Linked DNA regions of Elephas maximus indicus. The main gene of each other region encodes a partner of the protein of the gene in region 2 in a complex. Links are inferred from orthologs where the notes say so. Each region holds a gene or a part of one and is shown on either strand. Other genes may lie near its edges.

What was found. The genes of interacting proteins can lie anywhere in the genome.
Region 1: the proteins of GNAO1 (region 2) and HRH3 are in contact, whole or in part, in a cryo-EM structure (PDB 8YN7), measured with the Homo sapiens proteins. The link is inferred for Elephas maximus indicus from reciprocal best matches to the Homo sapiens genes GNAO1 and HRH3. Residues at the interface, in NP_066268.1 of Homo sapiens: Ile28, Ala31, Lys32, Asp33, Val34, Lys193, Asn194, Leu195, Asn312, Pro315, Asn316, Lys317, Glu318, Ile319, Tyr320, Phe336, Thr340, Asp341, Ile343, Ile344, Ala345, Asn347, Leu348, Arg349, Gly350, Cys351, Gly352, Leu353, Tyr354; in NP_009163.2 of Homo sapiens: Asn69, Asp131, Arg132, Ser135, Val136, Ala139, Val140, Tyr142, Arg143, Ala144, Gly147, Ile221, Ile225, Arg228, Arg232, Thr345, Phe348, Arg349, Arg352, Val356, Leu360, Cys415, His416, His417.
Region 3: the proteins of GNAO1 (region 2) and C5AR1 are in contact, whole or in part, in a cryo-EM structure (PDB 8JZP), measured with the Homo sapiens proteins. The link is inferred for Elephas maximus indicus from reciprocal best matches to the Homo sapiens genes GNAO1 and C5AR1. Residues at the interface, in NP_066268.1 of Homo sapiens: Ala31, Lys32, Lys193, Asn194, Leu195, Glu318, Tyr320, Phe336, Thr340, Asp341, Ile343, Ile344, Ala345, Asn347, Leu348, Arg349, Gly350, Cys351, Gly352, Leu353, Tyr354; in NP_001727.2 of Homo sapiens: Asn71, Phe75, Arg134, Leu137, Val138, Pro141, Ile142, Gln145, Ile225, Thr229, Arg233, Ala234, Thr235, Arg236, Ser237, Lys239, Thr240, Val243, Val244, Ala303, Gln305, Phe307.

Annotation. Positions count from the first base shown.
Region 1 is NC_064843.1:5,727,532-5,736,887, forward strand, and holds the start of HRH3 (histamine H3 receptor), read left to right. Parts: upstream 1-5,337; coding exon 5,338-5,605; intron 5,606-6,513; coding exon 6,514-6,680; intron 6,681-8,390; coding exon 8,391-9,317; 3' UTR 9,318-9,356. UniProt on the Homo sapiens protein: The H3 subclass of histamine receptors could mediate the histamine signals in CNS and peripheral nervous system. Signals through the inhibition of adenylate cyclase and displays high constitutive activity (spontaneous activity in the absence of agonist).
Region 2 is NC_064839.1:23,235,539-23,245,082, forward strand, and holds the start of GNAO1 (guanine nucleotide-binding protein G(o) subunit alpha), read left to right. Parts: upstream 1-5,059; 5' UTR 5,060-5,809; coding exon 5,810-5,927; intron 5,928-6,147; coding exon 6,148-6,190; intron 6,191-9,544. UniProt on the Homo sapiens protein: Guanine nucleotide-binding proteins (G proteins) function as transducers downstream of G protein-coupled receptors (GPCRs) in numerous signaling cascades.
Region 3 is NC_064829.1:101,634,268-101,643,911, forward strand, and holds the start of C5AR1 (C5a anaphylatoxin chemotactic receptor 1), read right to left. Parts: upstream 4,020-9,644; 5' UTR 4,003-4,019; coding exon 3,799-4,002; intron 1-3,798.

The DNA.
Region 1 (9,356 bases), on a different chromosome or scaffold from region 2:
TGGAGCCCACAGGCCCTGCCTAGAATCCAAGCCCTGCCACTTAGTGACAGGGTCTCAGACAGCTGTGGAAGTGTGCCAAGCCGGTGTCCTCAGGGCTGTGCGAGGTCCAAAGGAGACCAGGTGTTCAACAGCCTTTGTAAAGGGGTGAGGGGCAAGGGGGCATTAACTCCACAGTGTGCGTCTGCTGTTCTGTGGCTGTCTTCTGGGGGCAGCCCCTGGATCTTCCTTCAGGACACCCACCCTCAGGTGGCCCACCTCTAGATGAGACCTGGGACATCATGTCAGCACTTCAGGACCATTGGTCAGGCCTAGGTTGCCCCATCCTCCATCCAGGGCTGCTCTCTGCTGGGATGTCACCTGGAGGGACCTCTCTGAGGGGCCAAGTGTCTGAGCTCAGACCCAGAGAGGAGGGCTGAGCTGAGCAGAGGGCCGGGAGAGTGTGGGGGCAGGGTCGTGGGGAGGGAAGGTCAAGCACTCATACACACAGACACACACACATATAGACACACACAGACACACCCACATATGGACACGCATATACACATATACACAGGCACACACACAGACCCGCATGCACACACATATGGACAAGCACACACACGTAGACATGCACACAGACATGCACAGACACACACACAGACCGGCACACACAGACCCACATGCACACACATATGGACAAGCACACACACATAGACATGCACACACACACACAACTCGCCCCCTCCTTGGGAGTCCCTCAGACCCGGTCCCCACCCTGCAGGACCCTGGGGACATCTTCATTAACTGGATTCGGTGTCCCCAGCACTTAGCGCTGTTGGGCTCCTTATTTTTCTGACAGGCTCAGCTCCTCCAGGAACTTTGCTGGTCCCGAGGGTTTGGGGAGTAAACAGAGAGGCACCTGCAGCAGGGATTGGCAGTGGAAGGACTCTCCTGTCTCCTCCCCCAGGAAGCAATTCTTTGAGCCCCAACCCTGCCCAGAGCACCCCCACGGTCCCCTGAGGGGAGCCTGCTGGGAGGAAGAGGTGCCCAGCATCCTGCATGTAGGCTCAGGGGCTGGGACCATGTATACACACAGATGTACATGCATACACATGCACACACCCACGCACGCACACACTGTCCAGGACCCAGTGTCAGTGGCATGATGGGGGAGGCCTGGACAGCCCTGGGAGGAGAGTGGGGCCTGTGGGTTTGTGCCCAGGAAAGGGCAGGGAACAGAAGGAGACTCTGCCAGGTTTCAGAGGCAAGAGTTGGGCCTTTGGGGGCCGCTGAGGTCAGGGTGGTGTTGTTGGCTTCCACTTCACCCCTGGATGGAGCAAGGCAGCATGGCCAGTGATGGCCACACAGCAGTCAAACTCCCCAGAGCCACCCCAAGGTACCCAGCCCAGTGGGCCACCCCTCCTCCACCCCAGACAGACCCCCCCACCCTTGGGGGCACAGAGGCATGGCTGACCCTCTGCTCTCCAGGGCCCTGCTGAGGCCTGTCCACTGAGTGCCCCCCAGTACTGTGCTGATTCCATGCCCCTCCCACCTCCACCTGCTCCAGCAGCAGGCCCCCAACTTGCCTACTTTCTCCAGCCCCAGGGCCCTGGGTCGCTCTGGCCTTCCTCTGGTCAGGCCTGGTAGCCCCCAGGAGTTTAATATCAACTGTCAGGTCTGGATTCAGGATGAACTCTGGTACCTGGGGGCAGGTCCCCGGTAGCACCCACTGTGGCATTGTCTGGTCACAGCCCCCACAGTCCTGTGTGTGGTGGAGGCTCACCTGGGGCTAGGCCCAGCCCCCACACAGCTGGGTGGGGCTCAGAGCCATCCCTGCCCCTCCCAGTCTGTTGGGCTGAGGGCTCTGGAGAAGGCGCAGCAAACAGAGGACCACTTTCTCGCTTCCCTTCCTTGTTCCTCCATGATTTCCTTTATCACTTATGCAGCAGGACCTGCTCAGGTGCAATTCATTTCAGGCACTCAGCAAATATTTATCAAGCCCTCAGAGTGATGCATGGCTCCTCATGCTGACCTTCTGTGGTGGATATGTTGGGAAGCCCATTTCATACCCCAGAAAACTGAGTCTCACGAGCAGGCAGGAAAGAAGCCTGCAGCCGTGGGGACAGCTGTGACCTGGAAGAGACTCCCTGCCTGAGAACAAAATGGGCATGGTGCAAAGGCCAGTGGGGAGAAGCAGCTCTCCCAGAGCTCCTGGATGCGGCTATACCTGAAACTCATTACCCTGCACTTTCCAGCCCTGGGCAATAGTAAGCAGTCATTTTCCCCAGGCCCTTTTGAGCTGGTGTCTGCTACTTGCAGCCAAATCAGAGCAGCGACACCTTCAGGATGGAGGTGCTTGAGGTCTCCTGCTCAGCAGCAACTGGGGACCCTGGAGAAGATCTCACTCCGCCTTATCTTCTGCCTGTCACATGTCCCCAGACCCAATTCTGCCCTGACTCCAAAGGTAGGGAGGGAAAGGCAGGCTCTGCTCTGCTTCCTGTTCCAAACCGCAGCCTCGGGAGCCATCCTGATCACACTGGGCCCTGAGCTCACCAGAATGCACCCAGAGCTGCTTCAGAATGTCACGGGTGGGGGGGGGGGCAGGGACAAGGAACAAAGAAAGAAAACTTTGTACTCCCATATTCAAATGATTCCTCCGGGGGTGGGGGGGAGGGGAGAGAAAGCAAACAGCAGCTTCCATGGAGGTAACATCGAGGCTGGACTCGGAAGCCCCACAGGTGCCAGGAAGCTGCCTTGGTGTGACAAGCAGGCCAAGTGTGCTGCCGCTGGCTCTTGAGGCCCCTCATTACTCCTCATAAGTGGCTATGTCCCTGCACAGCAGGACATGCAGCTGGCTCAAGGGAGTAAAGTGTTCCCATCAAGGCAAGCTGCTGGCGGCAGGGCCCACAGCCCAAGACAAGGAAGAATGCCTGGGGCCGCGTCCTGCTGGCCTGATCCTGGCAACACCCTGCTTGTTTTTCCAGCCCAAGCTCCCCTACCCAACCCCAATGCCCTTCTGACCTCTCCCCTAGAACATCCCACTGGCAATTCAATCTCGACACAGGGCACATCGTTTTTGGCACAATGTCCCCAAATCCTGCTCCTCTACAGATTTCCCACCTAGAATTACAATAGTCACAGGAGAGCAGCCAGGGCCGCCTGCCTCTCCTCCCTCTTACTCCTCCCCTCAGCCCTGGGTGGTCAGTACTATGGAACTCCCATTCCAGGATGGAGACACAAAGTGGGGGAGGGGGCTCTCAGCCAGTGAGCAAGAGAGCTGGAGCCCCCTTTTTACCCCCATCCAATCCTGCCTTTTGAGGCCTCAGGTGGGTCCCGCAAAGCACTACCAAGGTCACTGGGGAAGAGCAGGGGTGGGCCCAGAGGGCCCACTCAGCAGGGAGCTGCTGGCTGAGGATGGGGTGGCTGGAGCATGGACCCAGCAGCTAAGGAGGCAGGATGATGGGGGGCAGGGGGCCCAATCACCCTTGCTGCCCAGCTCCAGGAACTTTCCATCTCGACTTGTCCCACCGCTAGGCAAATTGGGGTGGTGCAGGGAAAGTGGGGAGGCTGTTAGCGCAACAAGGTTGCTGGTGGCAGGGTATGAGTGGACCCAGGCACCCCAAGAGGGCTCTTGGGCAGAAGGAGGCACTGGGGTCCCCAACCCTCCTCCCAGCACAGGCTCAGAGAGCCAGGAAATCATGGGCTGGCTGGGCTGAGGGTCTGGGGGTTCCTTCCTGGGTGTGTGCAGGTAGGAGCCCCTGCCCAACGAGGGAGTGGAGGGAGCCCAGCCCCCCACTCCCAAAGTTTCTGAAGCATGTGTTGGGGCTGGCAGAGGGGTGGGCCCCCCATACTCAGGGGCTGCTGAAAGTATGGGGGTGCTTTGTGTGCCTGTGCCTAGGGTCCAATCTGTAGCCCCCTGACTTCCCACCTAGGGGTGGCAGCCTTGTGGACCCCCCCTCTTACCACTCCTTCCCCCAGGCACTGGGGTGAGCCTGTCCTGCCAAGGCTGCTGCCAGTGTGTGCTACTGGCGGCAGAGGGAGCCGCAGCTTCCCTCCCGAGCTCTGTTGCCTAGCTGTCTGCTGTCTGATGTGTGTCTAACTGCCACTGTGGTCCCTGACGCTGGGTGACTGTTTCCTTGGTCTGTGGGTTTCTGTGTGTCTGAGTGTGGGTGTGTCTGTCTGTCTCACCGTGAGTGTCTCAGGCTGCATCTGTCCTTGACCCTATCTGAGCTGTGTCGGGGGTGGGGGGCGCTTCCTCCCCACCTCCCTTCCCGCAGGGGCTAACACGGTCGACGCGGCGCAGCCGCCGCCGCAGGCAGCGCGGGAGCCCAGTGGCCTCTGTCCGCTGCAGCAAGGACCGCCTTTCCTCTTGCCCAGCGGGGGTCCCGGCCCGGCTTGCAGTCCCTTGGCTCTCTTCTCCACTGGGGGCGCTGAGCCCGGGGTGGGCGCGCTCCCCTCCCAGCTGGGCCGCTTGGGCTCCCCATCTTCCCTTATGTAACTGAACATCTGTCTGCGCCTGACAGGTCACCCTGGACCCTACGCCGGGCCCTGCCCACAGCGAGACTGAGGCCAGAGTCCGACACATGTTGGGGGTGGACCTGGCCGGGGACCCACTCTCGGAGACCCCCTCCCTACCTCTCCTTCTTGAGACGTTCCACCCCCGGAGACCCGCTTGCCCGAGGCGTGAGACAGGGAGGGCACCCACAGGGCACGTTTCCCTGGGCGCGGGAGCAAGGCGTTTCTGCCCCCACCCCCACCGTGGGTCCCCACAAGTGCCGGGCTCCCCACGAGGGCTGAGCCGGGTCACCGGGGCCAAGGGCACGGGGTAGGCCGAACGACCCGAGACCGGCTCCCGCGCGCTGGCCGGGTGGGCAGGCGAGCTCCCGGCCCGGCCCTGCCCACCCAGGGCCCCGCGAGCCGCGGCCCTGCGCCCCGCGTCGGGCTCCAGCCAGCCGATGGCACGCGGCGCTGTCCGTGGTGCTGCCGGCTCCGGGCGGGGCGGGGGCGGGGCGACGGCGACAGCCAATGGCGGCGGCGCTGCGCCGGGTGGGGGGCGCCGGCTCCGCGCTGGGCGCATTCGCTGGCGCTGCGCTCGGGGCGCACGGACGCTCCCGCGCCGCTCCGGCTCTGCTTAGCTTGGCGCCCGCTGCTGGCCCGGGCTACTGGCCCGGGCTCTTCGGCGCAGCTCGCTCGCTCGGTCCCGGCGCCTGCGGACCATGCGCCGGGCGACCCTCGGGGAAGCAGACCGGGCCGAGAGCCCGGGGGGACGAGGCGCCCGGCCCGGAACCCCTCCCGGCCGTCCGGCCCGCCGCCCGTGCCTTACCTCTCGGCCCGAAGTCGCGTGAGCCGGCGGGAGCCATGGAGCGCGCGCCGCCCGACGGGTCGCTCAACGAGTCGGGGGCGCTGGCGGGTGAGGCGGCGGCGGCGGCGGCGGCGGCGGCGGCGGGCGGGGCTCGCAGCTTCTCCGCCGCCTGGACCGCGGTTCTGGCCGCGCTCATGGCGCTGCTCATTGTAGCCACGGTGCTGGGCAACGCGCTGGTCATGCTTGCCTTCGTGGCCGACTCGAGCCTCCGCACCCAGAACAACTTCTTCCTGCTCAACCTGGCCATCTCCGACTTTCTCGTGGGTAAAGCCCCCGCGCCACATGCCAGCTTGCGGGACCTGGGCCCGAGCCGCCTCGGGCGCCTCCCGCTCGGCACGCGACCCCGCCGGCAGCCAGGCTGGGGAAGGGTGCTGGGGGTGTCCCCAGGGAAGGGCCGGCGCGACGGGCACTCAGCGAGGCGCAGGGCGCAGCGGCGGCGGATGCAGCGCTGGCTCGGCGCCGTGGCCAAACAAAGGCTGCAGGGACTCAGGACGCGCGGAGCTCAGGGGGGAGGGTCTTGGGAGGTTTGGGGGAGGGCATACGGAAGAGCGGTTCTCCGAGCCGTGTTGGGGGAGGGGGGCCGCGAGAAAGGCGGGGGTGCACAGAGGAGCGGCGCACTCTCACGTGCCCACACTCTGCTGCCGGCTGGGGGGCGGGGCGCCGAGGGGGCCGAGCGCCAGACACCTGTTGTGGCTGCGAGGTGTCTTGCCGACGCTAGGAGCGCGGCTTTCCTGAGGGAGAGGCTGCCAATGTGGCAGCCAAGTGCCCTATAAGCCAGTGAACAGCTTTCTCAGTGTCTGAGCTGATGCTCAGGGCCGTCCAAGGCCAGGCTAGGGGCTGGGTCCCAGCGGGCAGGAGGAGGAGGAGGAAATTCTCTTTCCTTTGGGGGCTGGGGAGGGCTGGACAGAAGCCCAGTCCCAACTCCAGGCTCTGAGTCTCCATCTAGACAAACACCCCATGACCTTCCCTCCTGCCCCCATATCCAGGGGTCACCAGTGGGGAGGGGGCAAGAGTTGAATGAAGACCAGACACAGAGCAGAGGGTGTGCCCTAGGAGACCAGGTGTGGGGGAGGGTAAGGTGAGTGCTGTGGTCTTAGACGCCCAGGTCCCTCCACTGGGCCGGCACTGTCCACGGCCCCTGTCCAGCGTGGCCTCCCTGTGCCTCCCCCCAGGTGCCTTCTGCATCCCCCTGTATGTGCCCTATGTGCTGACCGGCCGCTGGACCTTTGGCCGGGGCCTCTGCAAGCTGTGGCTGGTGGTGGACTACCTGCTGTGTACCTCGTCTGTCTTCAACATTGTGCTCATCAGCTACGACCGCTTCCTCTCAGTCACCAGAGCGGTAAGTCCCGGGACAGGGAGGGGCCCAGCAGGTGATGTCCTGAGTCCTTCAGTGGTGCTCATCACACCTGATGACTGGCTGCTCAGTAGCCATGTGCTGCCAGAGGGCTGGTCCTGGGGTTCTGGAGCCAGAATCGGATGCCCTGATGGCAGGGTCCCTTCAACCACCATCAGGGCAGGTGCACAGTCCTGAAGCTGAAGGAGGATCTGAGGTCAGAAGCCCTTGGCAAGACCTGTGTTTGCACCTCCCGCCCTGCCACGCACATACACAGACACACATGCACATACTCACAAATCACAAACACACGCACATGTGTGCACACAGGTGCACGAAACACACCTGCACATGTGCATGCATACGCACACATCCACATGCGTGCGTGCAGTGTACATGCACACACAATGGACACATATGCACAATACATGCATGCATATACATGCATACGTGCAAACACATCCACAGTGCACAAATGCACCTGCACACATGTGCACAAACACACGGACACACACATGCACACTTGCACACAGATGTTGCACAATATTCATACACAGAGAACATGCACACATGCCCCTGCACACATACGTGCATACATATACATACATACATGCACACACCACTCTGGCAGACAGGCAGTGGCCCTGGCTCTGTGGTCCTCCCTTTCTTTGAGTGGCAGCCATGGTAACCAGGAGGCAGGGCCAAGAGGCTGCCTGGGTTCTCTTTGCCTGTGCATTCTGGGCACAGGGCCGGCTGGGCTGGAGCAGAAATCACCCCTCGACCTTGCACTCCCAGGGGTCTCCCCTCTGCCGGGGGAGGTATCTCCCCGTCTAGCCTCAAGAAGCTATGGGACAGAGCACACACAGAGGGCACAGGGTGGACCAGACAGATCTCGCTGCAGCCCCAGCTCCACCCTCCTTAGCCGGCCCACCTGGGTTCCCCACTCCCTTCCCCAGCCATCGGGAAAGCCAGGATAATAATAGCTTTGTTGGGCAGGTTAAATGAGATAATATCCATAAAGTGCTTCCCTCTGCTGAGCCCCTCCAGGGGGAACTGCTGATGCTGCCTGGCCTGGCTGAGACAGAGCAGAGACATCTGCCATGTCCCACCCTCCCTCCTTTTGAGCTGTTTGCTTTCTGTACTTGAGAGGAGCAGTGCCCCATGCCCTGCCTGGATCCTGGGGAGGACTTGCTGGGCACTGCCCCGTCCTCCTGCTCTCCCTTCAGCTCTCCTGGTGTGGCTCCAGGATGCTTTGTGCATGTCAGGAATGGGACTTTGCCCAGGAACGGGCTGGCACTGGCTTCTGCCTGCCCCCCAGTTCCCTGGGGAGCTACATGCAAAGCGTCTGCACAGGGCTGGGCTGGGCTGGGCCTCCCCTGGCAGTGGCTCAGGCCTCTCTCTGCAAGCCCCACTCATGTGGGAACAAGATGCTGAGTGGCGCCTCCTGTGCAGCTGAGGCAGGGTGGGGGCTGGCAACTTGGGGAGATGCCAGAACCCCAGGGAGCTCACAGCCAGGGTGGAGGGGTCAACAGGTAGCCAAGCACAGTTAGGATTCAAGTTGATCTGGGGGAGGTTCTGGGGAAAGCCCGGGAGGCTTCCTGGCAGAGGCACTATGAGCTGAGCCCCGAAGGGGGCAGAGAGAGGGGAAGGCCAGTGCACAGATGCCAGAGACTGGCCTGGGCACCATCCCTGTCCCTGCTGACTTTCGCGCCGCAGGTGTCATATCGGGCCCAGCAGGGTGACACACGGCGGGCGGTGCAGAAGATGGCGCTGGTGTGGGTGCTGGCCTTCCTGCTGTATGGGCCGGCCATCCTGAGCTGGGAGTACCTGTCCGGCGGCAGCTCCATCCCCGAGGGCCACTGCTACGCCGAGTTCTTCTACAACTGGTACTTCCTCATCACGGCCTCCACGCTGGAGTTCTTCACACCCTTCCTCAGTGTCACCTTCTTCAACCTCAGTATCTACCTGAACATCCAGAGGCGCACGCGTGTCCGGCTGGATGGGGTCCGAGAGGCGTCCGGCCCGGAGCCCCCACCCGAGGCCCAGCCCTCCCCGCCCCCGCCCCGGCCCAGCTGTTGGGGCTGCTGGCACAAGGGGCCCGGGGAGGCCCTGCCCCTGCACCGGTATGGGGTCAGTGAGGCGGCCCCTGGCCCCGATGTGGGGGAGGAGGCCCTTGGGGGTGGCAGTGGGGGAGGAGGCGCCACAGCCTCCCCCACCTCCAGCTCAGGCAGCTCCTCAAGGGGTGCAGAGCGACCTCGCTCGTTCAAGCGTGGCCCCAAGCCCTCGGCGTCCTCCGCGTCGCTGGAAAAGCGCATGAAGATGGTGTCCCAGAGCATCACCCAGCGTTTCCGCCTGTCAAGGGACAAGAAGGTGGCCAAGTCCCTGGCTGTCATCGTGAGCATCTTTGGACTCTGCTGGGCCCCATACACGCTCCTGATGATCATCCGCGCTGCCTGTCATGGCCACTGTGTCCCTGACTACTGGTATGAGACGTCCTTCTGGCTGCTGTGGGCCAACTCAGCTGTCAACCCCGTGCTCTATCCGCTCTGCCATTACAGCTTCCGCCGCGCCTTCACCAAGCTGCTCTGCCCCCACAAGCTCAAGATCCAGCCCCATGGCTCCCTTGAGCACTGCTGGAAGTGAGGAGTCCTCCAGACCCATGCTGCCCCCACATGGCCCTCC
Region 2 (9,544 bases):
TCCGATCTTCTGAAGGACTTAATAACTATTAAGTACTTTACAAACATGGACCTGCTAATCTTGTCTGTCAACTCCAACCCAGGTAGGTTGAAAATACTATTATTCCCATCTAACGAATAAGAATCTTGGTTTCTGATGAAAGATTTTCCAAGAAAATTCCAACAGGGAACCACGGCTGTTAAGATGCCTTCATATTAAGCCAAGCTTCCAACTTCAGTTCCAGCTATTGGTCAATCTTATCATCAACATGAAAGCACTAGCCCTAGCCCCCTCCAACTTTCTGCTCCATTCAAGCCAAATGTGTCTCTGCAGGATTCTCTTGGTATCCCAAATTGAGAAAAATCACAAAGCACACCTTCTTTGGGGTTCTTGAACCATCAAAGTGCACTCACCAAATGATGTTCTCAACAGTGATCACATAATGGGCTCCAGTAACTTAAGAGCTCAATTCAATTACCTACAAGTCTTAATCCACTCCTTTGTACAAGTCCCTTATTTCTTCTCTGGGAATTTTTTTACCCCTAACAACTATTTAAAAAAAAATTTTTTTTTTAACAACTATAAATAAGGAAATTTTTTTTTTTTTCATGAACTCTACAAGTAACAGATGGGACGTAAAATTTAGCAAGAATTATCTGATGGGAACAATAAAAAACATTTAGCATATACTCTTCTCACAAGCTCCTAAATACTAATGAACCTCCCATTTATTTGTTTTATATCAATATCATTTCATCTTTCAGAACCTTACTTCAAGGTAAGCCATTACCTTTTTTAACTTATCCAATCTTAAAAATAATTTTCTAGAATCATCGAGTCACCGAATTTCTATTTGAAAAATCAAAGGCTCAGAGCTGGGAAGAACTTTGATCAATTATTTGAATGAGTCCTTGCCTATGGACACGTAAATTTCATTAACAAATATTAAAATTTGATGACCTTCCGGACATTGTGCGATGCCTGACTTCTGGGAACATACACAAAGGGATAAGACAACTCCTTCACCTCGAAGGAGTTTACAATTCAGTGTAGTGGTTCCCAAAGTGCATCAGTGTCACTTGGGAGGGCAGTGTATAATTTTAAAAATGAATATTCCCAGGCTCCACTGCAGACTTGCTGATTCAGAAATTCTAGGGATGGGACCTCGGCATCTGCATTTTTAAAAAGCATTTTGGGTAATTCTTATGCATAGTAATGTCTGAGAACCACTGGTCTACTAGGTCTGAGGAAGTGTACAAAATAATATCAGTCAAGCGAGTGCTGAATATGAGCTAAACAGGGGGCCTGTCTTCTAGGGACACACAAAATATTCATCAGCATCGTCCCTCATTAGTACCAAATATTTATCAGAAAACAATGCCATCTCTTAGCCTTTTCCAGGCATTCTTCTAAATTATACTCACCACTAAGCTGGGTTTTGAGCTATCAATTTTATAATAAAAACCATTAATAGAGAGCCCTAAAATTTCTAGTGATCTACCATTCTTCCTAAAATGTCTAGTTCACTTGACAGTTTAGCTTCATTTAGATCATGAACCACTCATTTTAGCCCATTTTCTTCCCATTCTTTATGACAGTGTTCATAAAGAATAGCATTCTTCATAATTTTTCCTCTCTGACAGAAATACAAGAAACTAGTAACATGAAGAAAAGTTGGAGAACTCAGAAACATGTGAGATATCTGGACTTGGGGAAAGTAAGCTCAGCTCCCAGCAGAATTAACTGGCACGTATGGAATCTATATAAGACCCAGTGCTTTCTGTACAGACGAATCATCTGGGGAGCTGCTATCAATGCAGACTGCACAAGGGTCTGCCTTGTAGAAACGATACCAGGCTTGGGTATCCGAATTTTTAACAAGCACCCCAGCTGACTAGGATGTGAATGGTTTTGAGAAGCCATTCCAGGGATTTCAAAATTTCAAGTTTTTGTTAGATTGTCAATAAATACATATTTAATTGAATTAATCAACTAAAAGGGAACAAATAGAGAATTTCTGTTCATCTAATCAGAGCTTACATTCTGTACGTCAGAGCTGGGGAACCTTGCTTACATCATGAATTACTGTTCTCCAGAATTAGGAGCCACTTATAGTAAAAAAAGCAACTTAATGTAGGCTTTGTTGACACACCTTTTAGGGAGTATATAAAAAATTCTAATCACCAACTTTTAAAATCAAAAATATGCTGGACAGTGTTGCAAGACAAGAGGGATGGTTGACTAAGGGGAGGGTAAATGAGAGTTATTCTCTGGCCAACAGCAACAATCAGAGAAATATAATTCTAAGGATCATATAAAATCAAAGCAAATGGAATCCGCCCCTGGTCTCAGTGTCCCCTACTCCCGATGTTAGGATTGTACTTTCCCCCATTGCTGCAGGAATCACGACAAATTCCGCTGTCGTGGTATTATCTAACTACTGACAACACCAGAGCAACAAGGTGTTCTCATTCTCCCTTTCTCCGGGGGAACCAGAATATGATTGGGTTCTGGGGTTGTGAGCTTTCTGGGAGTCTAGGGAGAATACGTGAAATATTTATATAACATGCTCTCTCTCAACTAGTCCAAAGACCTATAAAAGGAGCACTGGCTTACTACTTAATGACTTTGTGACCTTGAACAAGTTCAACTCCTCCGAGGCTCAGCTTCCTCAGCTCTAAAATGGGTACCCAGATCTATCTGGATTCTGGTCTAGGTTCCTTCCACTCAGTGGTGATGTTTCCAACACCACAGTGCCTAACCGAGGTTTCTGGGGAAGGATCACATGAGGTCATTTTTGCAAAAGTGATCTGTAAGCTGTAAAGCACTATGGAGATGAAGCGGATTATTATTAGTCTTTTATATAGCTCAGCTATAAAGATGCAAAGTGGCCCAGAAAAAGAAAACAGGAGAGACAAACCTGAAATACAACACCTATAATACCTAGAACATTACCCTATACATGGTAAGTAGGTGCTTATAAGTACTGAGTGAGTAAAGAGAAACACCGGTTTGTGCTTTCACCATACTAAGTCTAATACCAAGGATCATTTGACTCAGTCATACAAACCGTAATGAGCCTAAGAGCTTAAATTGAAAAGTACTCGATACAGAAAAGCATTAATACGTGAAATGTAATCCTACCATCTGCAAGGAAATAATTATTTTCTTACCTCTTCGGTTCTTCAGATGCATCTTTGTAGGGATAACAGTACCTGGTGAGGCTGCTTCTATTTTCCTCTGCATGTGATAGATCTGCGTAATTGTCCTACCAACGTTTAAAGGAAATAAGTTCTATTGAATGTTGGGTATGTGAACTTTCTCTATTGCATCTGGAAACCTGATTTTTAGTAATATCATGATTTTAAGCAAACCGGATTTATCCACCAGCCCCCCAACACACATCCAAGAGGGAAATGAGGGGAAGATGAGGGAAGCAGTTATTTACTTCCTAAGACAATTCTTTACAGGGTTTCTTTGTCAGTTTCTCAGAATACATAAAATGTGATTCAAATTTAAATACTTTAGATTATATTACAGACAACTTTGGACAACAACAGCTATTTGTAGAATGGGGCAAACCCATCCCGGGAATTACAAAATATGAAATTTCAGGGGAAAAATATTTTCTTCTGGGTGGGCCTTAACTGCCTTCTTTCCCTGTTGCAAATGTATTTTTTGCTGGTTAACATTTCCAAAACTGGAGTTTTTTGGGGTTTTTTTTCCTATTGTTGAGTTTGCTTTCAGAGCCACAGAAATGCCCAACTGTTAGAAAAAACAGTTCCCACTGGCCACTCGTTCTTATTCCCACACAATCTTTCCTCTCGGACCCTTTCTCTAGAAGGGCCCCTGGGGCTGTCTGGTGGAACTAATTGTAAAACCATTTTGTGCAGTAAGAATTAACTGCTTCAAAGTCTCAGAGACCACCCAGAACAGGCCCAATCTTTGGCAAATTTGTACTTGTTTCCTTAATATTTGATTCATTGAGTTAACTGACCCAGGTTTCTGGGTCTTTATTTAAGATGGGAAAAAATGGCTCGAAAGATAAAAGAAGAAAATCTCTTCTTCTTTCACCAAAAATATTTAAAATGCATTTTGTGTTTGTGGCCGGGGCAGGACGAGAGATTTCGTGCACAGACCTCAACCAAGCTAAGTCATTCGAAATGTGCAAAAGCGTTTCAACTATGTTCAGGGAGCAAGCAGTTGCAAGCAGCTCACGCTTGCATTAGAATCTGTCCCTCTCCAAAGCTTCCCGAGTGTGGGAACTCTCCTGCCCTGGTGACGGCGGGAAACCCTGAGGCAAGGTCAGCGATGGCAAGGCGGGGAGGAGCCCCTGGAGAGCAGGCCCTGGCTTTTTTTCATCCTGCCGTGTGCTTCTCACAGCCTTGCCTCTCACATATTAGGTGCTCAATAAATGCTTGTGTAACGCAGAAAACGAAAAACCCAAATTTGCCCAGTGGCCTGGGCCGTTGACGCGAATCATCCGGAACGCAGGTTGATTCAGACCCACTACCTCCACCCGTTTACGGAGGTAACTGGCTGCTACGGCCTCAGCAGCCCAAGAGTAACCAAGAAGGCGAGCGGCTGGAGACAAGATGGAGAGGGAGCCGGAGAGAAAAAGAGGCCGCGCGGGGCGCTAGCTGGGGAGAGGCGGGTTAGGGGGGGCCCACCTGACCGCCGTGCCGGCGACCCAGCCCCGCGCTCCCATTGACAAGGAGGTCCGCGCAGTCCGCGCGCGGGGCGGGGGCGGGGCTCCCCGGAGCGCGCTCTCGGCCTCAGGCCCCGCCCCTGCCCGGCCGCGCACGCGCCCGCCCCGGGGGAGCCGCAGACCCGAAGGTGCTGGGGGAGGGGAGGCCGCGTCGCGCGCGCGCCGCCACGAACTGACGCGGGCCCGGTGCGCGCGCCTCCCCCCGCCGCCCTCCGTCGCAAGCCTTCCCAGTCCCGAGGGCCCAGCGCGAGGCCCTGCTGACGTCAGCGGGCGGCTCGCGGTGCTGGGTGCGCAGAGCCGCTGGCGCACTCGCGCGCTGCGCTCGCAGCCACCCCCCGTCGCTGCCTGGGCTCTGGCGCGCGCGCCCGCTCTCCCTTCATTTTTTCCCCTCCCTCCCTGCCTCTCTCTCTCTCTCTCTCCTTCCCCCGCGAGCTCCCGGCTGCCCGCGACTCCCTCGCGCTCTCCGTCTCTCTCTGGTAGGCTCCACCGAGCAATGAGAGCTCTGGGAGGCAGCGCCGCCGCCCCCTAGAGACCTGCCCCCGGCCCGGCCCCGTGCCCAGCCCTGCCCAGCGCGCGGGGGTCGGCGACGGCGCTGCGGACGCACCGACGGCGGAGGGCCGGCGATGCACATGCACTAGCGGCACCCCCTAACTCACTCCCTCCACACCCCGCGCCGCCGCCGCCGCCGCCTCCTCCTCCTCCGGCAGCAGCGGCAGAAGGACCCACCCTGCCCCCCACCACACCCTCCGCCGGCTCCGGCTGCGGCTCCAGCCTCGACTATTATTCTATTTATTTTGGGTGGTGCACAAGCCTCAGTGCCTGCAGCCCGCGCCTCCCTGGCCCGCGGCCGCCTCCTCCCTCGGCTCCGGAACCCCAGACCCCGACCACCCGCGTCTCAACACCTCCAGACCCCTGCCAGCTGCCTCGAGTCTCCGTTGCTGAAATTTGTTAGCGGCGGTCTTTTGGGGGAGTTCTGGTCTCCCGACATTTTTGTTTTCAGCCAAGGGGAGGATTTTTTTCCCCCTTTGAGCCAGGCTCTGCTCTCCGGGGGGGTGGGGGGCTCGTCGAGTCGGGGAGCCGTGCCAGCCGAGTCGTGCGGGCTGTGGCAGGGAAGGGGCCACCATGGGATGTACTCTGAGTGCAGAAGAGAGAGCCGCCCTCGAGCGGAGCAAGGCGATTGAGAAAAACCTCAAAGAGGATGGCATCAGCGCCGCCAAAGACGTGAAATTACTCCTGCTGGGTAAGGGCTACGTCTGCCACCCCCATTCCCCGACCCCGGCCACTCCGCACTTCCCTCAGCCACCTCCCCCACCCCACCCGCTCCCGGGGAGACCTGGTCCCCAAATGGGCACCACCATGTGCCCAGGGTCGCCGACCCCCAGCATGCCTTATCTCTACTCCCCCTGTTTCCTTAAGCTGACACTCACCAGTTTTCCCCCCTCCTGTCTGTGTCCCAACAGGGGCTGGAGAATCAGGAAAAAGCACGATTGTGAAGCAAATGAAGTAAGTCACTGTGGCATTGGGATTTGTACTTTTATTAAGAATAATTTTTAAAATCATTTTCATTACCTTGCTCATTCCACATTGCTCTCCAGGCCTGGTTTTTAATTCATGTATACACACACACACACCTCGATTTGGCTCCCCTCCCCGACACCCTACGTTGGTTCTGGGGTCCTCCACTCCAACTCCAGGGTGGGTGGGTTTTTTGTTTGTTTTTGTTTTTTTGAGGGGGGGAAGCGCCTGTAGTTATATGAATGACAGTGTCCGCCATATTGATCAGAACATCACACTATTGGCATGATTATGATATTACTCCTGCTCGTGGGGTGTTTCGTGTGTCTCTCTGCTCCATTTCAGTCTCTATCTCTGTTTCATTCTGTCTCTATTCCCCTTCCTCCTCCCCCCATCCCCCTCTCGTCCACAATCCCACTTTCCCCTGCTCTTCTCCTGGGGCACTGATTTTGAACTTGGCTAAAACATGGAGGGGACCCAGCCCTAGACTGGGGTGCAGGATCAAGTGTCTGCTGTTCTTGGATTTGGTGCTGAATTGGAGGCTGTACTTTCTGCCTCTTCCTCTCCACCGCCAAGGTTGAGGGTGGGGAAGGGGGCAGAGGACGAGAATTAGGGGAGGGGTCGTGTGTTGGGGGAAGGGAGTGAGTTTCCAAGCGGATGTGACTGGCACAGCTGTATCCAAGGCAGAGGTGGAAAGGGGACGCTGGTGTGAGGCTTAATGCCCGCCTCCTTGCTGCCCCCGGTCCCTCTCCGCCCCCACCCTCCCAGCGTTTGCTCTCCTGACGCCGGCAGTTTTCGATCACTCTGTGGCCTTTATCATTGTGTTTATTTACACTCTGCATAGGCCGTGTTCCGTGTAACCTACCCACAATGCGGATTTCAGGCCCCACTTGCCGCCGCCCCCTTTTGCCTTAGATATCAGTTTCCCCTCCTAATTAACTGGAGGTGGATTTGAGTGATGGTTGAAAATTAAAACAAAATGGGATATTGCTTCTCTTCTACACTTTCTCAATAAGGAGCCTCGCCCCTCCTTCCCACTCTCAGGCTGGCTTCTTGCCCACTCCACTTGGCAGTTCCTGGTGAGCTCTTGGGCAGCTCTGCTTGGGGAGGGGGTGGCTGGTGGGGAAGGGGTGCAAGCCCTCGGGGCCTCCTGGCCTGGCAGTTTCCCTTGGCCTGTCAGTTCAGGACGAAGGAGTTCGTTAAGACCGTTTAGCGAGGATTCCACGTCTCTTTGCTGTGACACCTTCGTGCACACACGACTCCTAATTAGGGGTTGCTGTGCAGTAAACAAAAATGATTATATTTCAACTTGACAGAATAGCAGAAGTAATTGCATCCCGCAGGAAAACAATGGAAAATAAAAACCCCTTTCGTGGGAAGGTGGGTGGGAAACGAAGCATGCTTGCGATTTAAGAAGAACCAAGATGCAAAAAATCTTGCATGTGTAACAGGCATGACAAGCGGGTTCTAGGCGGCGCCATGATGGTAGGTAGTAGCGACTCGGAGACAATCTCCCCCATCTGCTTGACATGTTCTTATTTTTGCTCGAGAGCTCCCTCGGGCTTTCTTCGCAGAGGCCCCCTCGGCTCGCCGCACCCCACGGGCAATTTGGCCTGGGGCTTCTCTAAAGCTTGTGCAACCCAAATGGATGAGGAGGCGGGGCCTGGGGAATTGCTCTTTGCAACAAGGTGCATGTTGCATCTGCCTGGAGCCCTTGCAGGTCGGTAAATGCAAGCAGCGCCATTCCCATCTCCCGAGGGGAACGCGTCAAAACTTCAGAGGTCTGTAAATCTGCAGTGGCAGCCTCAGACAGAGCCCGATAGAAGCCGAGCCACCGGCGCTGGGTGAGGTTTCAGGCGTTGCGAGTGGTGGACAGCGCCCAGCCGAGGCCGGAAAAGTCGATGGAGCTCGGCTCGACTGCGCTCGGCTCGGCTCGGCGCGGGGCTCGGAGGGACTCGGCAGTGTTCGGAGCCGAGTCGGGGCCCTGACGGAGAGAGCCGAGTCGCTTCGGAGGGGGCCGAAAGCATTCGGAAACGCTCCGCGGCAGGGAGGGGAAGGGCGGGGGGCATGCCAGAGTCCGCAAATTAACTTTGCATCCGCCAAAGCGACACGTTACCAGCTTTCCCTGAACATGCTCCGTAAATTAGGTTGATTTAATAAGAAGTTTAAAAATATATACTGAGTCCCCCGAAGGATAATGTTACCTACCTCGGCTTTTCATTCAAAGAGAGCTGAGCTCTCCCAGGAGATAGGTGTGCCATTTTAAAATGAAAACCCCTAATTATGTACTGGGGCAAGAAATCTTAAATTAAGGTTGTATGTAAACTTTCCCGGGAAAGTCCTACGTGTCTCGTATTGATACATATTTGGGTACACTAAGGAGGGAAAAATGAAGCCTTTGAGGTTTGAGATGATTAAGTCAGAAATCAAGGCATTTCTTCTCTTGCCCTGCGATTCTGCCTTCCCTCACTCCCACAGAAACATGCGCTGACAACTTTTTGGAGAAAAACTGAGATTTTGGAAGTGAAACATTGAATACTTTTTTAACTCATTACACTTGCTGTCTTTAAGGATATGGGTTTGCTCAAAAAGTCAATCAAAAAGGTTTCTAGACCAGGTACATTTTGCTGCAGGAGACCAGAGTAAGGACTCTGGGCCCGGTCCTCCCAAACCATTCACGAACGGCAGCTTTTCCCGTGAGGCCTCCAGCTTGGCTTGAAGTAAGTCAGATCAGGGCCTTGAGCCAAGCTGGATGAAGGACTTGTTTTATTAACCACAAAATGTGGGATTGGTGTCACTGTATCCTAGTGACAAATTTTTTGAGTCCTCCCTTGCAGAGATGGTTTTTGCGAGATCACTGCTTGACTGAGAGTCACTGAGTCAGGAGGAAAGTATGGAGGGTGGGGCCCACCTAGGCCGCACTTACAGAAAGCAATTCCTGACTTCCCAGTGCTCTACAATTAGTGACCAGCCTATCAGGCCATAAGTGTGAGGTTATTAGGTTGCTGTTTTATTTCACTTGGGCAGATGAAATTGGACAATTAGAGAGTCCTCCTTGGGTTACACCCTGTGAGAACCAGATGATTTCCTATTGGAGGCTGGGATTTTAATAGCCCAGCATGTTGGATTGAGAGGAAGAATATCGATATTCAGACATCCCTGGGCCCTTTTTATTCAGCATTTCCAAAACAGCAAGGAGCCGTTCCATTCGGCCTGTGTTCTCATCCATGTTGTGTGCTGGTAGGAAGAAGGAATGGGGTTCCGTATATGCCCATAGTAACTGCAGTTACATGATGAAGGAATGGCTGTCAGATGCTGCTTAGAACCGTTAACACCCACATC
Region 3 (9,644 bases), on a different chromosome or scaffold from region 2:
CTGGAGAGGTGCTAGGTTAAATTTTATATCTAGAAAGATTCCCTCTGGCCACTTTGAAGGTGAACTCAGAGGCAGGGGAACCAGAGAAGAGGCTGGGTTGGGGATCCAGGTGAACGATGATGTTGACCTGGGTTAGAGTAATGGGCAAAAAGAGGGAGAAAAGACGAAGGACTTGAGGGCACAGGGAAGAGACAAAACTTGTGCACAGTTGTGCAGCTGGTGTGTGGGAGGAGTAACTGGTAAACACTGTCACAGCCCCTTCCCTGTATGAGCTTCAGTTTCTCTGCCTTTCTAGTGGGGAAAGTCCTGCCAACTGTTCTCCCATTAAAGTGGAAGTAACAGACCTACTTAGGAACGCTGTCAGAGCCAGGAGACATATGAAAGGCAAGGTCTGCTTTTTTCTTAAACATCTGCCTCCCCTGTTCCCACGTGGACAGAATGTCTTTTAACAATCTACGCACAGAACCGCATAAAATCCTTATAGGTTGCTACCTCAGAAAAATGAATTACAAGGGTGGGGGCGGCCCCTTCAACTCATATTTATTTTCTTTAACTCACACAACCTTTGTAATTAAAAATCCCTGAATATTAAAAAGGAGTCCCTGGGACAACACACAATATAGGGGAAGTCAGCACAACTTGACCATGGCAAAGTCATAGAAGCTTCCTAGATACATCCAAACACCTTGAGGGACTGAGTTGCTGGGGCTGAGGGCTGGGGACCATGGTCTTAGGGGACATCTGGGTCAACTGACATAACATAGCTCATAAAGAAAATGTTCTATGTTCTGCTTTGGTGAGTAGGGTCTGAGGTCTTAAAAGCTTGTGAGTGGCCATCTAAGATGCATTGGTTCCATCCCATCCAGAGCAAAGGGGAATGAAGAAAACCAGAGACACAAGGAAAATATTACTCCAAAGAACTAATAGACTACATGAACCACAGCCTCCCAGCTTCAGCCCAGGACAACTAGATGGTACCTGGCTACCACCATCGACCGCTCTGACAGGGATCATAATAGAGGGTCCCAGACAGAGCGGGAGAAAAATGTAGGAAAAAATTCAAATTCACAAAAAAAACAGCAGACTTACTGGTCTGACAGAGACTGGAGGAACCCCTGAGACTATGACCCCCGAACACCTCGCTAACTCAGAACTGAAGCCACTCCCAGAATCCACCTTTCAGCCAAAGATTAGACAGCCCTATGAAAAAAACAGGAGGGAGCCCTGGTGGCACAGTGGTTAAGAGCTTTGCTGCTAACCAAAAGGTCTGCGGTTCAAATCCACCAGCTGCTCCTTGGAAACCCAGTGGGGCAGTTCTACTTTTTTGTACAGGGTCACTATGAGTCAGAATCAACTTGATGGCAACAGGTTTGGTTTTGGGGTGGGGGGGATGAAACAAACAATAACACATGTGAGGAATGTGCTTCTTAGTTCAATCAAGTATACATAAGACCAACTAGGTAACACCTGCCCAAAAGCAAAGACGAGAAGGTAGGAAGGGGCAGGAAAACTGGTTGAATGGACACGGGGAAACTGGGGTGTAAAGGGAAAGGGGGAAAGTGCTGACACATTGCAACCAGTGTCATAAAACAATTTGCTTATAAACTTTTGAATGAGAAACTAATTTGCACTGTAAACTTTCACCTAAAGCACAATAAAATTTAAGAAGAAATAAAGACTAAGAAAAAAACTGAGGCAGGATGACAGGCTTATTGAAATGTTCAGAAAGCATCTCTGACTTCTTCAAGAAAGCTATTACCATGAAAAAAACAAAAACAAAAAAAGGAGCCCCTGGGTGGTGCAAATTGGCTGCTAGATGAAAGGTTGGCGGTTCGTGTCCACCTCAGAAGAAAGACCTGGTGACCTGCTTCTGAAAAATCAGCCATTGAAAACCCTATGGAGCATGGATCTACTCTGACACACATGGGGTTGCCATGAATAAGAATTAACTTGACAGTAACTGGTCTGAACTGGAAGCAGTAAAAAACGTAAACACATTTAAAATATGCGGTGAAAAAGACAAGCTTCCAGGTATTTTGAGGATGCAATGAATGAACTGCCTCTCAGGTTGGCAAAAGTAAAAAAAAATGCGATAAAACTGTGGGTGAGGGCATAGGGAAACAGGCACTCTCAGGCACTATAGGTGGGAAATATAAATTGATACAATGTTGGTAATCTGTTAAAATAAAAATTGCACATGTCCTGGATTCAGTGTTTGCAATTCTGGAAGCTCAAAGGTAAGTCCAAAGATATAAGTACAGGAATACTCATTGCCGTTTTAGTTTTAAAGCTCATATATTAGAAACAACCTAATTCTCCATTGATAGGATCAACCACCAACTGGTACCCATGTGTTATGGATTGAATTTTGTCCCCCCAAAATGTGTGCCATATTCGCTAGGCCATGATTCCCAGTATTGTGTGGTTATGCGCCATCTTGTGATCTGTTGTGATTTTCCTGTGTGTTGTAAATCCTACCTCTATGATGTTAATGAGGCAGGATTAGAGGCAGTTATGTTAATAAGGCAAGACTCAATCAACAGGATTAGGTTGTATGTTGTGTGAATCTCTTTTGAGATATAAAAGAGAATATAACAGAGAGGAGGGGGACCTCCTACCACCAAGAATGAAGAACCAGAAGGGGAGCACATCCTTTGGACCTATATCCCTGTGCTGAGAGGCTCCTAGACTAGGAAGATCGATGACAAGGACCTTTCCCCAGAGCCCGACAGAGAAAGCCTTCCTCTGGAGCTGAAGCCCTGAGTTCAGACTTCTAGCCTCCCAGACTGTGATAGAAGAAATTTCTCTTTGTTAAAGCCATCTAGTTGTGGTATTTCTATTATAGCAGCACTAGATAACTAAGACACTGTGTTTACATCTGAAGGAAACGACAAGGGGTCTGAGGCTCAGGGGTGGTCAGGGAGAGTGAATTTTCACTGAATCCCCTTCGGTGTTTTGGAATATTTTACAGAAAGGACGAAAAGAAGAAGCAGCAGCAGCTAGTAAGTTGCCCTATTCTGAAAGTCCTGTTTGCCCAAGTTGGATGTTAAAGGTGGGATGAGGAGAGTGAAGCAACATCAAACCCCTCCCATGTCCATCCAACTTGTTTTCCGTTTCCCCTTTTGGCCAGATGAAGCAATACCTGAGAGAGACTCCAAGTGCTAACCCACAGCCCTGCCCAGCTTGGTCCCCAGACCTCAGGATGCAGATGTGTAAGGGGGGCCCTCGCTGCACCGGGGGACAGCATCCCTCTGAGACTCACAGGATCCAAGGAACGTATCAGTTCTGCCACCAACCACTGTGAAGGACCCAGGCCATTTCTGCCCTGGCCTGGGCTTCAGTTTCCCCATCTCCACTATTGAGAATATATGAAATTCCACGGGAGTAACATCTTCATGCCTCCAAGCTGGCTGTCTCCAGCCTCCCAACATTCGCCCCTTCTGTTCCAGCTGCCTGGAACTCCTTTCTGAAATTCTTCTCTTGTGGAATTCTTAGTCATTTTTACAAGACCCAACTCAAGGGTTTGCTTCCCTGGGAAATGTTCTTGGACCTCCAGCCCTGTGGGGTTGCTGTGGCTCCCATTGTCCCTTGACAGCCTTAATCCTTAAACTTCATCCCAGCCCTGGAGTCCGAGACTCTGAGATGAGGAAGAAGGGAGAAGAGGAGTGATTGAGGAGGGGGATAGGGAGGAAAGAAAAGGAGAAACACGAGAATGAAAATGCTGGAGAGAAAAAAGGAGCCGAGAAATGAGGGAACAAAGGTAGAGAGTTCCTATGTCCAAGCTCCTTCTGAACTTACCATGTTCTGGTCTTCTGGGCTCTTCGCTGAGGGAAGGTTCCTCTTGCCCACAAGGGCTGTGGTTTTTAAACCCCCAAGGGAGGGTGCGGAGAGCCGGGGAGGAAATGACCATCTTTCCTTTCTGGGGTTCTGATTGGTCTGTGCACTGGACACTCTGCTGGGCCCCCTTTCTGGGGCACACACACACCCAGGGACTCCGAACATCTCCCCCCAGTCAGAGGAGGGAGGACAGGGCGTGGAATACTGAGGAAGTCCCTGGTATGAGAGAGGAGAAAGCCAGCTGGAAGAGCCCCCTGGCCCCCACCCCAATCTGGGTTCAGCCCCTTTCTGTGCCTTGGCTACCCCATTTTAGAGCTCTCTCTTCCCTTTGCACCACAGCCCAGGGACCCAGCTACCTTAGACTCCCACGGGGGCCTCGGGAAGCAGGGTTTGTGGCCCCTGCCTCCCAGCCAGGTTGCTCTGAAGTGCAGAGAAGCCAAGCAGGTCTGAGGAGGTGGCCCAGTGCTTGGGCACATTTTGCTGTTAAATCTTCTTTCCTAGGGTTTTGAAAAGGAACCCTAATTGCACAATGGCTAAGCTCTTGGCTACTAACCAAAAGGCTCCACAGGAGAAAGGCCTGGCAATCTGCTCCCATAAAGGTTTCAGCCTAGGAAACCCTATGGGCCAGTCCTATTCTGTCACATGGAATGGCCCTGTGTCAGAAACAACTCGACAGCACCCAACAACACAACAGAGTTTTGAAAGGAGTCCCCAGGTGGTGCAAGCAGCTAATTCGCTCAGCTGTTGACCAAAAAGTTGGCAATCTGAGCCTACCTAAAGGCACCTCGTAAGAAAGGCCTGGCAACATGCTCCCAAAAAGTAACAGCCTTAAAAACCCTATGGCGCACACAGTTCTACTCTGCACACAGAGGTCAACGTACGTCGGCAGCAACTAGTTAGGGTTCTAAAGTTGGTAGGAGAAGCCACCCCCTGAGCCACAATTGTCTGACTTGGAAATGGGACCTGTGTCTTGTCTGTTTCAGCCTCTTTCTGGTTCTCTGGGAGATGTGCTGGAGCCAGGATAGAATAAGGATCCTGTATTAGTTTCCTACAGATGCCATAGCAAAATACCACAAACCTGGTGGCTTAAAACAATGCAGATTTATTCTCTCACGGTTCTGAAAGCCAGAAGACCAAAATCCAGGTGTCAGCAGGGCTGTGCTCCCTCTGAAGGCTGTCAGGGAGAATCCACCTTTACCTCCTCCAGCTTCACGTAGCACCAGGCATTCCTTGATTTGTGTGTCTCTGCCTCTGCCTTCACGTAAAACCAAAACCAAACCCACTGCTGTCGAGTCGATTCTGACTCATAGTGTCCCTACAGGATGGAGTAGAACTGCCCCATAGAGTTTCCAGCCCTGTAATCTTTACAGAAGCAGACTGCCACATCTTTCTTCTGCAAAGTAGCTGGTGGGTTCAAACTGCCTGTCTTTCGGTTAGCAGTCAAGCACTTAACCACTGCACCACCAAGGCTGGAGCCAAAATCCAGGCGTTGAGTTTCCTCCTGGAGGAGGGCTTCTAGAACTGCCTTCCTTGGCTCATGGCCCCTTCCTCCATCTTCAAAGCCAGTAGCCTAGCATCTTGCTTCCGTCCTCACATTGCGTTCTTCTTCTGTGTCACATTTGCCTCTTATAAGGAGCCTTGTGATTGCGTAGGAGGGCTTTGCTTCCTCTAAAGCCCCTAAGGGAGAACGCTTCCTTGCCTCTTCCACTTTCGGGTGGCTCCAGGCGTTCCTTGACTTCTGGCCCCATCACTCCTATCTCTGCCTCTGTCTTCACAAAAAACCAAAACCAGCCCATTTCTGTCACATCGATTCCAGTTCATAGCGACCCTGTAGGACAGAGTAGAGCTGCCCCATAGGGTTTCCAACCAGAATGACATATCTTTCTCCCCCCAAGCAGCTGGTGGGTTTGAACCGCTGACCTTTCGGTCAACAGCAGAGCACTTTAATCACTGCACCGCCAGGGCGCCTACGCAATCACAAGGATCCTTATAAGAGGGAAGCAGAGGCAGATTTGACACGAAGAAGAACGCAATGTGAGGTCTGAAGCAAGACTCTAGGCTACTGGCTTTGAAGATGGAGGAAGGCGCCATGAGCCGAGGAAGGCAGTTCTAGCAGCTCTCCTCCATGAGGAACACAACACCTTGAATTTGGTCCCAGCCAGAATTAGCCAGCACAGTGGTTAAGCGCTCAGCTGCTAACAGAATGACTTGCAGTTCAAACCCACCAGCCGCTTCACAGGAGAAAGATGTGGTGGTCTGCTTCCATAAGGATTTACAGCTTGAGAGACCCTGTGGGGCAGTTCTATTCTATTCTATACAGTCGCTATGAGTCGGAATCAACTCCACAGCAGTGGGTTTTTGGTTTTTTGTGATTGCATTTGGGGATCACCTAGATAATCCAGGGTCATCTCACCATCCCAAGATCCTTTACTCCATCACATCCGCAAAGACCCATTTGCCACGTGAGGTAATATATTTGTAGGTTCTGGGGACTCGGACTGGACGTCACGGAGGCCATTATTCAGCCAATCACAATGAATGACGATGCTGACTGAAGATTGCAAACCAGGTGCATTTTACACACGCTGTTTTGCAATCCTATGATCTATCATCCACCTCCTTCCTCCACAGTAAATATTTTTCTATGACAGGCAGTGGTGGTTCGGTGGTAGAATTCTCATCTTCAATGGGGGAGACCTAGGTTCAATTCCCAGCCAATGCGCCTCATGAGCCAACACACGCCTGCCAGTGGAGGCTTGCATGTTGCTGTGATGTTGAACCAGTTTCGAAAGAGCTTCCAGACTAAGACAGACTAGGAAGAAAGACCTGGCGATCTACTTCCAAAAGTCAGCCAGTGAAACCCTACGAATCACAACAGTCCAATCTGCAACCCATCAGGGGTATGGCACAGGGCGGGGCAGCATCTTGTCCCACTGCGCACGGGGTCGCCGTGAATCAGGGGCAGCTAACAACAACAACCAAGTATTTCTCTAGGGCGACTTCGATTTTTAAAAATTGAAAAGAATGGTGGTGAGATAACATGGGTAGAGATGTCGAGAACGTTGACGCAATGTGATGAATGTAACCAACGTTATTGAATTGTACCTGTGGAAATTGCCAAATGGGTATATGTCCCGCTGTGTATATTTTCACCAAAATTTAAAAAGAAAAAAATAGTTTTCTTTTCATTACAGAGGTAATCCATGCTCATTGCAAACATTCCAACAATCCGGAAATAACTACTCCCCCCCAAAAAATTAAGCTTTGAAAGTCCCCTATCTGCCACCCTGTTGAAACTCTTCCTAGCAGTTTGGAATGTATCGCCCAGACTTCTACAAATGTGGTATTTGTGTTTGGGGATGGGCACATGGGTGTATGCTATTCAGCAAGTTTTGGTTCCATTGAACGAAGCCGTGTGTACAGTCCGCTGTTGTGTGCCATCGAGTCGATTCCAACTCATAGCAACCCTATAGGACAGAGTACAATTGCCCCATAGGTTTTCCTAGACCATAATCTTTATTGGGGCAGATTGCCTGGGCTTTTCTTCCAAAGAGCAGCTGGTGGGTTCGAACCACCAACCTTTTGCTTTGCAGCTGAGTGCTTAACCATTGCACTACCAGGGCACCTAATGTACAATCTGCTGACTCAGAAAGGATTTTGAAGTGGATTTACAGAGATTGAGGGTGCACCCTAGGAATATGGTGTTGTGTTGAACCTGACCTCAAGGAGGCGCTTGAGGGGGAAGTGGGGAGGAGACGCAGGAGGCCAGGTGACACCCACTTTACTTTTATGATTTTGGATCCAAGTTATATATCCCCTTAAATCATGAGTTAAGATTTTCTATGCTCTGGGCCCCTGGTGAAGCTCTGGACCTCTTCTCAGAATGCTTTTTTTTGGATAATTTTTTTCTTTTAATGTAATTTCAAACTTAAAAAGAAGTTACGAGAATAGCAAAGGCAATTTCTGTATGCCCTCCACCCAGACTGACTCTTGGTTAGTAATTGTTCTATGTGCTTTAGCATGTTTGCGCTATTTATGTATGTGGGGTACCTATCTGTATATCCGTATCTATGGTGGCAAAGGAAACCCTGGTGGCCTAGTGGTTAAGAGCTATGGTTATTAACCAAAAGGTTGGCAGTTCGAATCCACCAGCCACTCCTTAGAAACCCTGTGGGCAGTTCTACCCTGTAGGGTCGCTATGAGTCAGAATCGACTCCACAGCAGTGGGTTTTTTGGTTTGTTGCCATCCAGTAGATTCCGACTCATAGCGACCCCTTGTGTGTCAGAGTAGAACTGCTTCATAGGGTTTTCTTGGCTGCAATCCTAACTGAAACAGATTGCCAGGCCTTTCTGGAGGATGGCATGTTGCTATGATGCTTAACAGGTTTCAGCGGAGCTTCCAGACTAAGACTAGGAAGAAAGATCTGACAATCTACTTCCAAAAATCAGCCAATGAAAACCCTATGGATCACAATGGTCCTGTTGTGCATACGATCCCCACGAGTTGCTGACTTGACTGCAGCTAACAACTACAAATATCTATTATCTATCTATACATTTTTTTCCTGAATCATTTACGAGTAAGTTGCATCCATCATGGGCATTTACCACTATATTCTTCAGTGTGTATCTCTTAAGAACATGGATATTCTCTTTCATAACCATAGCACAATTATCGAAATAAGGAAATGTAATAGCGATTTACACTACTATTATGTAATCTGCAGTCCTTATTCAAATCCCATACGTTGTTCCAATTGTATCCTTTATCGCTGTTCTTTTTTCAGAATGTTTTAGTAAATGCATTCAGAAACTCCTCGTTCCCTTTGAACAATATAATCGTTCCACTGTTAGTTTGAAACCTGCTTTATGGAACCACTTCCCTATTGGTGGAATTTTGGGTGGTTTCCACTATTTCTGCTCATATTGCACTGCGTGTTTTCACATGAGTGTGCCCTTGTACCTCTGCCCTGTGTCCACACACAAGGATTTATTGCAAGAAACTCTCTAGAAATGGGATTGCAGGGCAGAGTGTGACTACACCATACTGTGTTTGTAACTTTTATGCTCTCCTTCAAGATCAAGATCCGCGCTGTCCAATATGGCAGCCACTAGCCACATGTGGCTACCAAACCTGTAAAGGTGGCAAGTCTGAATTAAGATGTGTTGTGAGTGTAACATACACACCAGATTTCAAAGATTTAGTACCAAAAAAAACCAAAGAATGTAAAAGAACTCAATAATAATTTGTGTATAGGCTGTTGCTGTTGTCATCGAGCGGGTTCCAACTCACAATGACCCCGTGTACAACATAACTAAATACTGCCTGGACCTGTGCCATCCTCACAATCGTTGTTATGTTTGAGCCCATTGTTACAGCCACTGTGACAATCCATCTCATTGACGGTCTTCTTTTTCACTGACCTTCTACTAAACATGATGTCCTTCTCCAGGGACTGGTCCCTCCTGATAACATATCCAAAATAAGCAAGATGAAGTCTTACCATCCTCACTTCTAATGAGCATTCTGGCTGTACTTCTTCCAAGATAGATTTGTTGGTGCTTCTGGCAGTCCATGGTATATTCAATATTCTTTGCCAACACCATAATTCAAAGCCATCAATTCTTCTTCGATCTTCCTTATTCATTGTCCAGCTTTCACACGTATATGAGGTGATTGAAAATACCATGGCTTGAGTCAGGAGCATCTTAGTCCCTAAGGTGACATCTTTGCTTTTTAACACTTTAAAGAGATCTCTTGCAGCTGATTTGCCCAGTGCAATGGATTGTTTGATTTCTTGACTACT